3 linked regions of the Macaca fascicularis genome follow. Each later gene encodes a partner of the first gene's protein in a complex. Links are inferred from orthologs where the notes say so. Each region holds a gene or a part of one and is shown in the gene's direction. Other genes may lie near its edges.

The links.
Region 2: the proteins of TNFSF13B (region 1) and TNFRSF13C are in contact, whole or in part, in a crystal structure (PDB 1OQE), measured with the Homo sapiens proteins. The link is inferred for Macaca fascicularis from reciprocal best matches to the Homo sapiens genes TNFSF13B and TNFRSF13C. Residues at the interface, in NP_006564.1 of Homo sapiens: Ser162, Tyr163, Asp203, Thr205, Tyr206, Ala207, Met208, Gly209, His210, Leu211, Thr228, Arg231, Cys232, Ile233, Pro264, Arg265, Glu266, Asn267, Ala268; in NP_443177.1 of Homo sapiens: Asp26, Leu27, Leu28, Val29, Arg30, Val33, Leu37, Leu38, Arg39, Pro41, Arg42.
Region 3: the proteins of TNFSF13B (region 1) and TNFRSF17 are in contact, whole or in part, in a crystal structure (PDB 1OQD), measured with the Homo sapiens proteins. The link is inferred for Macaca fascicularis from reciprocal best matches to the Homo sapiens genes TNFSF13B and TNFRSF17. Residues at the interface, in NP_006564.1 of Homo sapiens: Ser162, Tyr163, Lys204, Thr205, Tyr206, Ala207, Met208, Gly209, His210, Arg231, Cys232, Ile233, Glu238, Pro264, Arg265, Glu266, Asn267; in NP_001183.2 of Homo sapiens: Tyr13, Asp15, Ser16, Leu17, Leu18, His19, Ile22, Arg27, Ser29, Ser30, Asn31, Thr32, Pro33, Pro34, Leu35.

What each region holds. Positions count from the first base shown.
Region 1 is NC_088391.1:99,006,771-99,009,590, forward strand, and holds the end of TNFSF13B (tumor necrosis factor ligand superfamily member 13B), read left to right. Parts: intron 1-644; coding exon 645-757; 3' UTR 758-2,286; downstream 2,287-2,820. UniProt on the Homo sapiens protein: Cytokine that binds to TNFRSF13B/TACI and TNFRSF17/BCMA. TNFSF13/APRIL binds to the same 2 receptors. Together, they form a 2 ligands -2 receptors pathway involved in the stimulation of B- and T-cell function and the regulation of humoral immunity.
Region 2 is NC_088384.1:9,679,388-9,683,788, forward strand, and holds the start of TNFRSF13C (tumor necrosis factor receptor superfamily member 13C), read left to right. Parts: upstream 1-1,536; 5' UTR 1,537-1,566; coding exon 1,567-1,702; intron 1,703-1,927; coding exon 1,928-2,248; intron 2,249-2,797; coding exon 2,798-2,979; 3' UTR 2,980-4,401. UniProt on the Homo sapiens protein: B-cell receptor specific for TNFSF13B/TALL1/BAFF/BLyS. Promotes the survival of mature B-cells and the B-cell response.
Region 3 is NC_088394.1:12,668,619-12,672,800, forward strand, and holds the start of TNFRSF17 (tumor necrosis factor receptor superfamily member 17), read left to right. Parts: upstream 1-1,257; 5' UTR 1,258-1,472; coding exon 1,473-1,599; exon of another isoform or gene 1,600-1,701; intron 1,702-2,338; coding exon 2,339-2,485; intron 2,486-3,614; exon of another isoform or gene 3,615-3,705; coding exon 3,706-3,983; 3' UTR 3,984-4,182. UniProt on the Homo sapiens protein: Receptor for TNFSF13B/BLyS/BAFF and TNFSF13/APRIL. Promotes B-cell survival and plays a role in the regulation of humoral immunity. Activates NF-kappa-B and JNK.

The sequences.
Region 1 (2,820 bases):
TTTGAAGAGTTAATTTCATTGTTGTTTTTGATTATGAAGACAAATGTGGTTATATAATAAAACAAAATATAAGAGGTTGTGAAAAATAATCCAGATAATGCTTAAACCCATAGTCTGAACTCTCAAGAAAAACTATATTAATAAATGTGGTATCTTAAGAAATGGTGTTTTCTTCACTTTTTAATATTTATGCTTTTCATATGTATGTTTAAAATATAATTAGGAATATCTAGTATATATATGTGTGTGTAATTTTTCATGTTTTTATTTAACATTATTATAAAAACTTTCCTTGTCAACAAAATTAAATAAAAATCATCACTAATCATTTAATATTCTATCAAGGGATGTGCCATGATTTACCTAATTTTTTAAAAAGTTATATATTGGGCTTCTTTTGGGGAACTCCATTTTTTAAAGAGTAGGTGATAAATTCATACATATCTGTTGTAACTCCTTTTGCTTATTTCTTCTAAATTTTTTTAGGCTAAGATAATTGCAATGGTTTAGAAGCCAACTGGTATATTCTGAAGTGTGGATGCCTATGTTAACATTTTTTTTTACAGAACAAAATAGTTTTATTTAGGTTTTTTTCTTTTCTGTTGTATAACCACTTATAGTTCTTGTAAATCATTTTTTCCTAGGCATTGCAAAACTGGAAGAAGGAGATGAACTTCAACTTGCAATACCACGAGAAAATGCACAAATATCACTGGATGGAGATGTCACATTTTTTGGTGCATTGAAACTGCTGTGACCTACTTATACCATGTCTGTAACTATTTTCTTCCCTTTCTCTGTACCTCTAAGAAGAAAGAATCTAACTGGATATACCACAAAAAAAAAAAAAAGTAGTTACCGTTGGCTTTTCTGTGAGCTATTTGTTTTGGTTTGCTGAAACTAGTCCAAAACAGGAAATTTAACAGACAGCCACAGCCAAAGAGTGTCATGTGAATTACAAGAAACCAGAGCCCATTTAGGGAAAGATAGAACTAGAAAGGCTTTTCACTATAATTCCATGCTGAACAATTGAGTCATAGCTTCTTATCTTGGAGGAAGGACACAATTCAAAGGGGCAGTAAGGATTTTGTAAAATGTGGCATCCATAATTTACTATGGAACCAGTGCCCACATCTCTAGGACATTAAGACATTTATGAGAAATCTCAGGATTCATTTTCTATTTTTATGTTAAATGCACTCCCTCCTTTTTGGTCAACATTACAAAAAGTAAAAAATAAAAATTTTAGAAATCTTGCAGTAGTTACATGAAATAACTAAAAGTTTAAATTTAAATATGAAACAACTTGGCTGAAAATAGTATCCATGTACTATTTAAGTATTTTATGGTTATTTCAAGTATGCGATTTCTATCTATGATGTAATATATTACCCACACATTTTTTCACGGGAGAGAGAGAATATCCTCATCTGTTTATGCTCATGTGTATTTCCTATAATGAATTTCAGAAACATTTAATATCAGGTAATTTCAATTTATGCATGTAAAGCATTGATTGAAAAATAACTATAATTGTTCATATATAACAACATAATCTCCAACAGAAGTTACTGAATACATTTATACTAATGTAATGTAATTTCTCTTTATTTCTTCCTCTTCTGTTTCAAACTGCTGCTATTATAGTTTACACATCCCAACCTTTAAAAATATTCCTCTTATTAGTTTTATATTCACTTTATAGAGGTTGAGTTTTAATTAAAATTCTTGGCATCCTGAAGTATGTCACGTACCATGTACTCCTTATAAATATGTTGATATCTCAGAAGACATCATCCCGGTTTTCATTTTATAAAGTACCATACTTAAGAATGCTGTAATACTTATATTTTATAACATGTTTCCTTTGCTTTGCTTGTCTTTTATGTCATTAGTTTTAACTGTTTACTTCATTTAACAGTTTACATCATTCAACAGTTTACTTCATTAAACAGTAGGTGGAAAAGTAGATGCCAGTCTATGAAAATGTTCCCATCTATATCAAAATACTTTTCAAGGATATACTTTTCAAAACAAAGAAAACCATTTACATTTTATGTTTAAAATCTAAACTTTAAGTTTAAACTTTGTTTAGATATCTGGTTCCTATGATTTCAACTTCAGTAAGTTCAAATAAAATATATTTTGCAGTTCATTTTGTTTTACATTGTAATTTAAAAAGAAGAAGCGATAAGTGGAGTCAGAGTTTCAATGCTAGGAGGGGTGGTTAATGATTTTTCTGGTGTTGCTGCTAATATGGATTAACAAATAAAAACCTTCATTGCCTTTTGCCTCATTGACTGAGTTTGTCTAGCAACACCCACCTTTTGCATTCTCACTGTATAATTAAATGTTATTTTTAAAATCAGGTGAAACATGATAAATTAATTTGTGTTAGGATACGATAGTTTGGAAATGTGAATATTTTCCATATCTGAAAAAGGATCTGTTCACATCTGCATCTGTCTAACTACTTCATTTTAAACTATTTAGAAGGAGACATCAGTTATATTATTACCTTTAGAGTTGAATTTATCCAACAGTACAGTATATTTTGTGGGATTTTTAGTACAATATTAAGTATATATTATTGGTATAATATTGAGTATTAATATATATACTTATAATATTACGTAGATGTATAACTGAGAAAAGCTAATACCAGGCCAAGCATTCTTCTCCTGAGGAACTGACTATGAGGTGGTAAAATTCAACCAGGACAAGCATCTTGTAGGGATCACAAAAGGCATCACTGAGGGCAATCTCATTGGCAGCAACCTCTTATCACATATTGGGCCCAACCCCCGCTCTGCTGTAATT
Region 2 (4,401 bases), on another chromosome or scaffold:
GACAGACAGTTGGGGACCCCAAACACTGGGGAGCAGAGATAGACAGGAGAGACCCGCAGTGAGAGACGGAGGTAGCGGGAGAGGACACACAGCCCTGGAGAAAAGGAGCCAGTGTGGGCAGGCTTCCCTCCACTGCAGTCACAGGTCCCTTGCTCATAGGCAGATCTTCCTGGGCACTCTCTGCACAAAGCCCCAGTGGCTCCCTCGTGTCCTCCAGCCACAGTCCAAGCTCCCTAATGTGCTAGATAAGGCCCCAGTCCAGCCCTTTGGTCCCAGCACTCCCTGGACTTCCTGTTTGGGCCTCCAAGCATTTGCTCCCCTTTGGCCTTCACCCCCATCTGTTCCCTAGACCTCACTCCATCTGGCAAATACTTCACCATCACCCCCTCCATGAAGCCTTCTAGCCCACCTTCCAGGATGACATGAGCCGGTACCCTTGCTGCGAGGCTGTCTTCCCCCATCAGCACAAGTGTGAAATTCCCTTGGGGCAGACCCACATGCTACTTGGGACTGGTACAAGTGTCTGATGTCAGGCTGGGCACTGTGGCTCACGCCTGTAATCCCAGCACTTTGGGAGGCCGAGGAGGGTGGATCACCTGAGGTCAGGAGTTCCAGACCAGCCTGGCCAAATGGTGAAACCCCGTCTCTGTTAAAAATACAAAAATTAGCCGGGCGTGGTGACACATGCCTGTAATCCCAGCTACTTGGGAGGCTGAGGCAGGAGAATCGCTTGAATCTGGGAGGCAGAAGTTGCAGTGAGCCGAGATTGCACCACTGTACAAAGCCAGACTCCGTTTCAAAAAAAAAAGCAGGTGTCTGATGTCCCCAACCGCCTCTGTCCAGGAAGGGCAGGAGGACTCCCTAGAAGCGGAGATAAATGGGGTGGGAGAGATAGTGGGGAAGCATCCGAGGTCATGGAGCAGCCTTGGCTAGAGGGAGCAGAGGAACCACTCACGGTCTGTGTCCTGGCTCCATCCACCTCCCTACCCAAGAGGAGGCTCTGGTCTGCCCCCAGACGGTCCCAGCACCCAGCAGAGGGCCCACCCAGGTGGTGCTGGTTGAGTGACTGAACTGGGGAACCATAGGAAGAAAGAGAGGCCAGGCCCGGCGCGGTGGCTCACGCCTATAATCCCAGCACTTTGGGAGGCCGAGGCGGGTGGATCACGAGGTCAGGAGTTCAAAACCAGCCTGGCCAAGATGGTGAAACCCCATCTCTACTAAAAATACAAAAATTAGCCGGGCGTGGCGGTGGGCGCCTACAATCCCAGCTACTCAGGAGGCTGAGGCAGCTAATTGCTCGAACCTGGGAGGCAGAGCTTGCAGTGAGCCGATATCGCGCCATTGCACTCCAGCCTGGGCAACAGAGCGAGACTCCATCTCAAAAAAAAAAAAAAAAAAGAAAAGAAAGAAAGAAACAAAGAAAGGGGGGCCCCAGGAGAGCTCGGTCCCACCCAGCAGGCGGGGGCAGGGCAGGGCAGAGTGTTCCCCCCGCCTCCCCGCTTCCTCCCCGAGGGCCCCGGAGGCCCACTCAGCCTCAGTCCCCACTTGTGCGGAGGCGCCGGCACCATGAAGCGAGGGCCCCGGAGCCTGCGGGGCAGGGACGCGCCAGCCCCCACGCCCTGCGTCCCGGCCGAGTGCTTCGACCTGCTGGTCCGGCACTGCGTGGCCTGCGGACTCCTGCGCACGCCGCGGCCGAAACCGGGTAAGGAGGACCCACCGGGCGCGCGGCGCCGGCAGCCGCGGGGAGGACGGGGCCCCGACCGCCACGGCGAAGGCAGAGCCCCGACCCCTGGGGGCGCCGAGGGCTGAAAGGACCCTGTGGGCAGGGCCTGGAGGGGCCCGCCATCACCGCGCGGCCCTCACCGCCGCCTCTCTCCCTCCCCTTGTCCACCGCCCCCCCCCGGCTGTCCCTCCCCTCCCCGGCCAGCCTCGCCCCCCTCCGCCCCTCCCCGTCCCCGCTCCTCCCTCCCCTCGGCCCCCTGCCCTCCCTCCCTGTCCCCTCCCGCAGCAGCCCCGGCCAGCAGCCCTGCGCCCAGGACGGCGCTGCAGCCGCAAGAGTCGGTGGGCGCGGGGGCCGGCGAGGCGGCGCTGTCCCTACCCGGGCTGCTCTTCGGCGCCCCCGCGCTGCTGGGCCTGGCACTGGTCCTGGCGCTGGTCCTGGTGGGCCTGGTGAGCTGGAGGCGGCGACAGCGGCGGCTTCGCGGCGCGTCCTCCGCAGAGGCCCCCGACGGAGACAAGGACAAGGACGGTGAGTTCCGTGTGTAGCGGAACCAGTCCGAGCGGGGCACAGGGGCTGGGGTGTCGGGACGGCCTAGGGGGTGATGCATGGCCCCTGGGAGTAGTGAAGGGCTGTAAGGGGAAACGGAGACAGAGAGCGGAAAAGAGTTTGCTCTGAGGAGCTCAGGCTGGGGACGGAGACATAGTCCTGCGCCTGAGACCCTGGTCGGAGCCAGGAACAGCTCTGCCCTGCCATACCCCAGTGTGAGGAAGAGACAGTTCGCGGGAAGGGGGCCCCGTCTGAAGGAGGAGCCTGTCCTGCCCTTTGGGAGTCTAACGGAGCTTGATTCCCCCATAAATCCCTGCAGGGTTTGCCAGACAGCCCCAGCTCCCCAACTCCCTGCCCTGCCAGCTCCCCACTGGCCAGGCCTCTGAACTCAGGGTCAGCCATGTGCCACCCCTCCCCACCCTGCAGTGGGCTTCATTTGACGGAGTACTGCCCCTCCAGAGGAGTCTTCTAGGGGAGGGAGAGAAGGCTGTGACCCAGTACCGAGCCTCTATCCCCTCTGCCCTGCCCCAGAACCCCTGGACAAGGTCATCATTCTGTCTCCGGGAATCTCTGATGCCGCAGCTCCTGCCTGGCCTCCTCCTGGGGAAGACCCAGGAACCACCCCACCTGGCCACAGTGTCCCTGTGCCAGCCACAGAGCTGGGCTCCACTGAACTGGTGACCACCAAGACGGCCGGCCCTGAGCAACAGTAGCAGGGAGCCGGCAGGAGGTGGCCCCTGCCCTCCCTCTGGACCCCTGCCAGGGTCTTGGAAATCAAATTTTGCTCTTCACTCCAGCATGCACATGCCCTCTTTCTGGGACCAGGCTAACCCTGCAGAAGCACAGACACTACAGACCACAGCGTTCAGCCCCCATGGAGTTTGGTGTGCTCACCTTTGGCTTCAGACCACACCATCTTTGACAGCCCTTGAAGGTGGTAGCCCAGCTCCTGTTCCTGTGCCTTCAAAAGGCTGGGGCACTATGAGTAAGAGACCGCTTTTAAAATGGGGAAGGCACCATTAAGCCAAAATGAGTCTGAAAAAGGACCAAGTGGGAGGATGCCTAATTTGTAGCTGGGTAGTTTTTTGTGTTTGTTTGATTTTTTTATTTTTTGAGACGAGTCTTGCTCTGTCGCCAGGCTGGAGTGCAGTGGCATGATCTCACCTCACTGAAACCTCCAACTCCTTGGTTCAAGCGATTCTCCTGCCTCAACCTCCTGAATAGCTGGGATTGCAGGCATGCACCACCACAGTCAGCTAATTTTTGTATTTTTAGTAGAGACGGGATTTCACCACATTGGCCAGGATGGTCTCGATTTCCTGACCTCGTGATTTGCCCTCTTCGTCTTCCCAAAGTGCTGGGATTACAGGCATGAGCCACCGCACCTGGTCTTGTTTTGTTTTGTTTTGTTTTGTTTTGTTTGAGACACGGTCTTGCTGTATCACCCAGGCTGGAGTGCAATGATGGGTCCCCAGTACATTGCAGCCTGGGCTCAAGCGATCTTTCTGCTTCAGCCTCCTGAGTAGCTGCGACTACAGGTGCTCCACCTTGCCCAGCTAATCTTTTTTTTTTTTTTTTTTTTTTTAAAGACAGGTCTGGATATGTTGCCCAGGCCAGTCTCAAATTCCTAGCCTCAGGCAGTCCTCCCCAAAGGGCTGGGATTATAGGCATGAGGCACTGGGCCTGGCCGCTATTTCTTTTTTTTTTTTTTTTTTTGAGATGGAGTCTCGCTCAGTCCCCCAGGCTGGAGTGCAGTGGCCAGATCTCAGCTCACTGCAAGCTCCGCCTCCCGGGTTCACGCCATTCTCCTGCCTCAGCCTCCCGAGTAGCTGGGACTACAGGTGCCCGCCACCTCGCCCGGCTAGTTTTTTGTATTTTTTTAGTAGAGACGGGGTTTCACCGTGTTAGCCAGGACGGTCTCAATCTCCTGACCTCGTGATCCGCCCGTCTCGGCCTCCCAAAGTGCTGGGATTACAGGCTTGAGCCACCGCGCCCGGCCTGCTATTTCTTTAATACCTGCCCTCAGAGCCGTCCTGCTTTTAAACTGATGCAAATGGTGGCAGTGCATAATCAGTTCATGGGTTTGCTTGCTTTGGGATTTAGTACAAGATTATTTAAAGAAATAACAAAGGAGA
Region 3 (4,182 bases), on another chromosome or scaffold:
TTTGCAACTTCTGGGATATACGAGGTGTTAGCAGTGATTACTTGTGGATGCTTGGAGTGTGGATTTTTAAAATGGTTTTTTATCTGCTCATCTGTATTTGTAAATTTTCAACAATGGAACATAGATTATTGCATTATTATTATAATACCCCAAACCTATCTTCCCTTCAGCCCTCTTTCCACGAGCTCTTACCCTAAATGTCTCTTTTTCTGTCAGTGGCATTGTGAGTCTTCCTTAGTGCATCACCTCTGATCTTCCTGTAGAGTTTTTTTTTTTTTTGAGATAAGAGTCTCAAAAAAAGACTCTATCTCAAAAAAAGATAGATCCTCACTGCAACCTCCGCCTCCCGGGTTCAAGCACGTCTCCCTGACTCAGCCACCTGAGTAGCTGGGATTATAGGTGCCTGCCACCATGCGTGGCTAATTTTTGTATTTTTAGTAGAGATGGGGTTTCACCATGTTGGCCAGGCTGTTCTGGAACTCCTGATGTCAAATGATCCAACCACCTCAGCCTCCCAAAGTGCTGGGATTACAAGAGTGAGCCACAGCGCCCAGCCCACACCTGACTAATTTATTTTTTTATTTTTATTTTTATTTTTGAGACAGAGTCTCACTCTGCCGCCCAGGCTGGAGTGCAGTGGCCGGATCTCAGCTCACTGCAAGCTCCGCCTCCCGGGTTCACGCCATTCTCCTGCCTCAGCCTCCCGAGTAGTTGGGACTACAGGCGACCGCCACCTCGCCCGGCTAGTTTTTTGTATTTTTTAGTAGAGATGGGGTTTCACCGTGTTAGCCAGGATGGTCTTGGTCTCCTGACCTCGTGATCCGCCCGTCTCAGCCTCCCAAAGTGCTGGGATTACAGGCTTGAGCCAACACCTGACTAATTTTTAAAATGTTTTAGTAAAGACAGGGTTTTGCCATGTTGCCCAGGCTGGTTTTGAGCTCCTAGGCTCAAGTAATCATTTTGCCTTGGCCTCCCAAAGTCCTGGGATTACTGTTGTGAGTCCCTGCGCCTGGCCTCAATGTTAAGATCTTAAGGGGCACAGCACAGACCTTGTCTTGTCTATCTCCCTGGCACCTCTCACACAGTACAGCTCATTAACAGATGTTCCAGAAACTGTTACTGAACACGGCTTGATGCCGTGGGCTTGTCTGCATCTTGCAACTGTCACCTGGCTGAGAAATTTCTTCTATAAATAGCAGTTTCTGTTTCAGATGTGATTTGCCCCGATATTTACACCCCGTCTCTTACCCCGTCCACGACTCAAACTTAGAAACTTGTATTAGATGTGGTATTCAAATCCTTAGCTGCCGCAAAGAAACAGACGGCCCCGTAAGAACCCACGAAGCAGGCCAAGTTCATAGTTCTCGACATTCTAGCTGCTCTTGCTGCATTTGCTCCGGAATTCTTGTGGAGATATTACTTGTCCTTCCAGGCTGTTTTTTCTGTAGCTCCCTTGTTTTCTTTTCGTGATCATGTTGCAGATGGCTCGGCAGTGCTCCCAAAATGAATATTTTGACAGTTTGTTGCATGATTGCAAACCTTGTCAACTTCGATGTTCTAGTACTCCTCCTCTAACATGTCAGCGTTATTGCAATGCAAGTAAGTAATATCGCTTGAACGATTATTCATTGGTGTGAACTCTTCTGTCTCTATGGACTGCTTATTCAGAGAATCAACATAATGGGCATGATGGTGAGTTTTCTTGAATCAAAAAGAGAAAGGAAGCAAGGCAATAATTTTAACGTTTACAGAAACAACGTAATTATTTGGAACTCAACTCGATATGATTCAGCACTATTAGCAACATAGATTTTAAAAAAAATATCAGCTCTTGTAGTTAAGGATATTTAGAATTTAAAAGTCAATGTTCATTAATTAAGGTGATTGAATGGAAAAAATCCATACTTGATTATTTTGCTATCAAAATAATCCATAATTGATTATTTTAGCAAAATAATCAAGTATGACAGCCGGGTGTGGTGGCTCACACCTGTAATCCCAGCACTTTGGGAGGCTGAGGCGAGTGGATCACCTGAAGTCGGGAGTTTGAGACCAGGCTGGCCAACGTGGTGAAACCCCGTCTCTACTAAAAATACAAAAATTAGCTGGGCGTGGTGGTGCAGGTCTGTAATTCCAGCTACTCGGGAGGCTGAGGCAGGAGAATCGCTTGAACTCAGGAGGTGGAGGCTGCAGTGACCTGAGATCGCGCCACTGCACTCCAGCTTGGGCAATAGAGCAAGACTTCATCTTAAAATAAATAAATAAATAAATAACAACAATAAAGGATGTGAATATTATGTTATCAGCTCATTATCTGTCTGACATTCTTTTCATAAAGGTATGACCAATTCAGTGAAAGGAATGAATGCGATTCTCTGGACCTGTTTGGGACTGAGCTTGATAATTTCTTTGGCAGTTTTCGTGCTAACGTTTTTGCTAAGGAAGATGAGCTCTGAACCATTAAAGGATGAGTTTAAAAACACAGGTTGGTTTGATGGTGAATCTTTGAAATCTGTTTCCAGTGGATGGCTATTGTGAGTTTCAGTTCCTTTTCTTTTTTTAGCATTGACTATTTCACTTCATTACAGCCCTTTTGAATGTGTTAGAGCATAGTTATATTAAACGAGCTTGGTAGAGGCGAGCCATCTTCACTCTGATTTTGACACCTTGGCAGACTTTCTACAATGTCAGCCTTCCCCAGGATTCTTCCCTTATTAATTACTCTATTGAAAGTACTAAGGCTTTCTTGGGAAACATCAGTCTCTTTGTCTGAAGTTAGCACATCAATTAAATGCCACATTATCAGAAACTCCTAGCCAGGTCTGCTACTGTCAGGAAGAGCATATTTGTCAAGATCTAAGGCCATGTTATTATACAAGTATGTGTTGTTTGCTTGGGTGAACACTTTACTACTGAAAAATGTTAGAAATGAATAACCACTTGCTCCTGAATTATTTGAGGAATCATCTAAAAAATAATTATCTTTTTTAAGCAATAGAGAACTAGTTCCAGAAAAATGAATGTTCTACTTAAGTGCCTCTTAAGATAAAAATACTTCTGCAGCACCTTTGCTCGTGATTGGATTCCCTAGTATGTACAACCACTGCCCTATTTTTGTATGCATTTATGTATGTATGTATGTATGTATTTATTTAGAGACGGAGTCTCGCTCTGTGGCCCATGCTGGAGTGCAGTGGCATGATCTCAACTCACTACAGCCTCTGCCTCTTGGGTTCAAACGATTCTCCCACCTCAGCCTCCTGAGTAACTGGGACTATAGGCATGTGCCACCACGTCCAACTAATTTTTGTACTTTTTGGTAGAGACAGGGTTTCATCATGTTGGCCAGGATGGTCTCAAGTTCCTGAACACAACTGATCTGCCCTCCTCGGCTTCCCAAAGTGCTGGGATTACAGATGTGAGCCACCGTGCCCAGCACATACTCATTCTTTTTTACTGAAAAGATCTGTTTCAAGCTGGGTGTGGTGGCATGGAGCTGTAGTCCCAACTACTCTGGAGGCAAACGTGGGAGGATTGCTTGAGCCCAGGAATTTGAATGTAGCCTGGCAACATAGTAAGACCCCATATCTAAAAAATGAAAAAATCTCTCTCACATTGCTTTGAGTCCCGATGTGTACTGGTAAGACTCTCACGATCACACACTCTGTCAAGTTTAGGTTAATGTTTCTGTTTCTGCATAATCAGGATCAGGTCTCCTGGGCATGGCTAACATTGACCTGGAAAAGGGCAGGACTGGTGATGAAATTGTTCTTCCAAGAGGCCTGGAGTACACGGTGGAAGAATGCACCTGTGAAGACTGCATCAAGAATAAACCAAAGGTTGATTCTGACCATTGCTTTCCACTCCCAGCCATGGAGGAAGGCGCAACCATTCTCGTCACCACGAAAACGAATGACTATTGCAATAGCCTGTCAGCTGCTTTGAGTGTTACGGAGATAGAGAAATCAATTTCTGCTAGGTAATTAACCATTTCAACTCCTGCAGTGCCACTTTAAAAATCTTTTGTTGGAATAGATGATGTGTCAGATCTCTTTAGGATGACTATATTTTTCAGTTGCTGATATAGCTTTTTGTCTAACCATGGAAACTCTTTATGTTAGATATATTTCTCTAGGTTACTGTCGGGAGCTTAATGGTAGAAACTTCCCTGGTTTCATGATT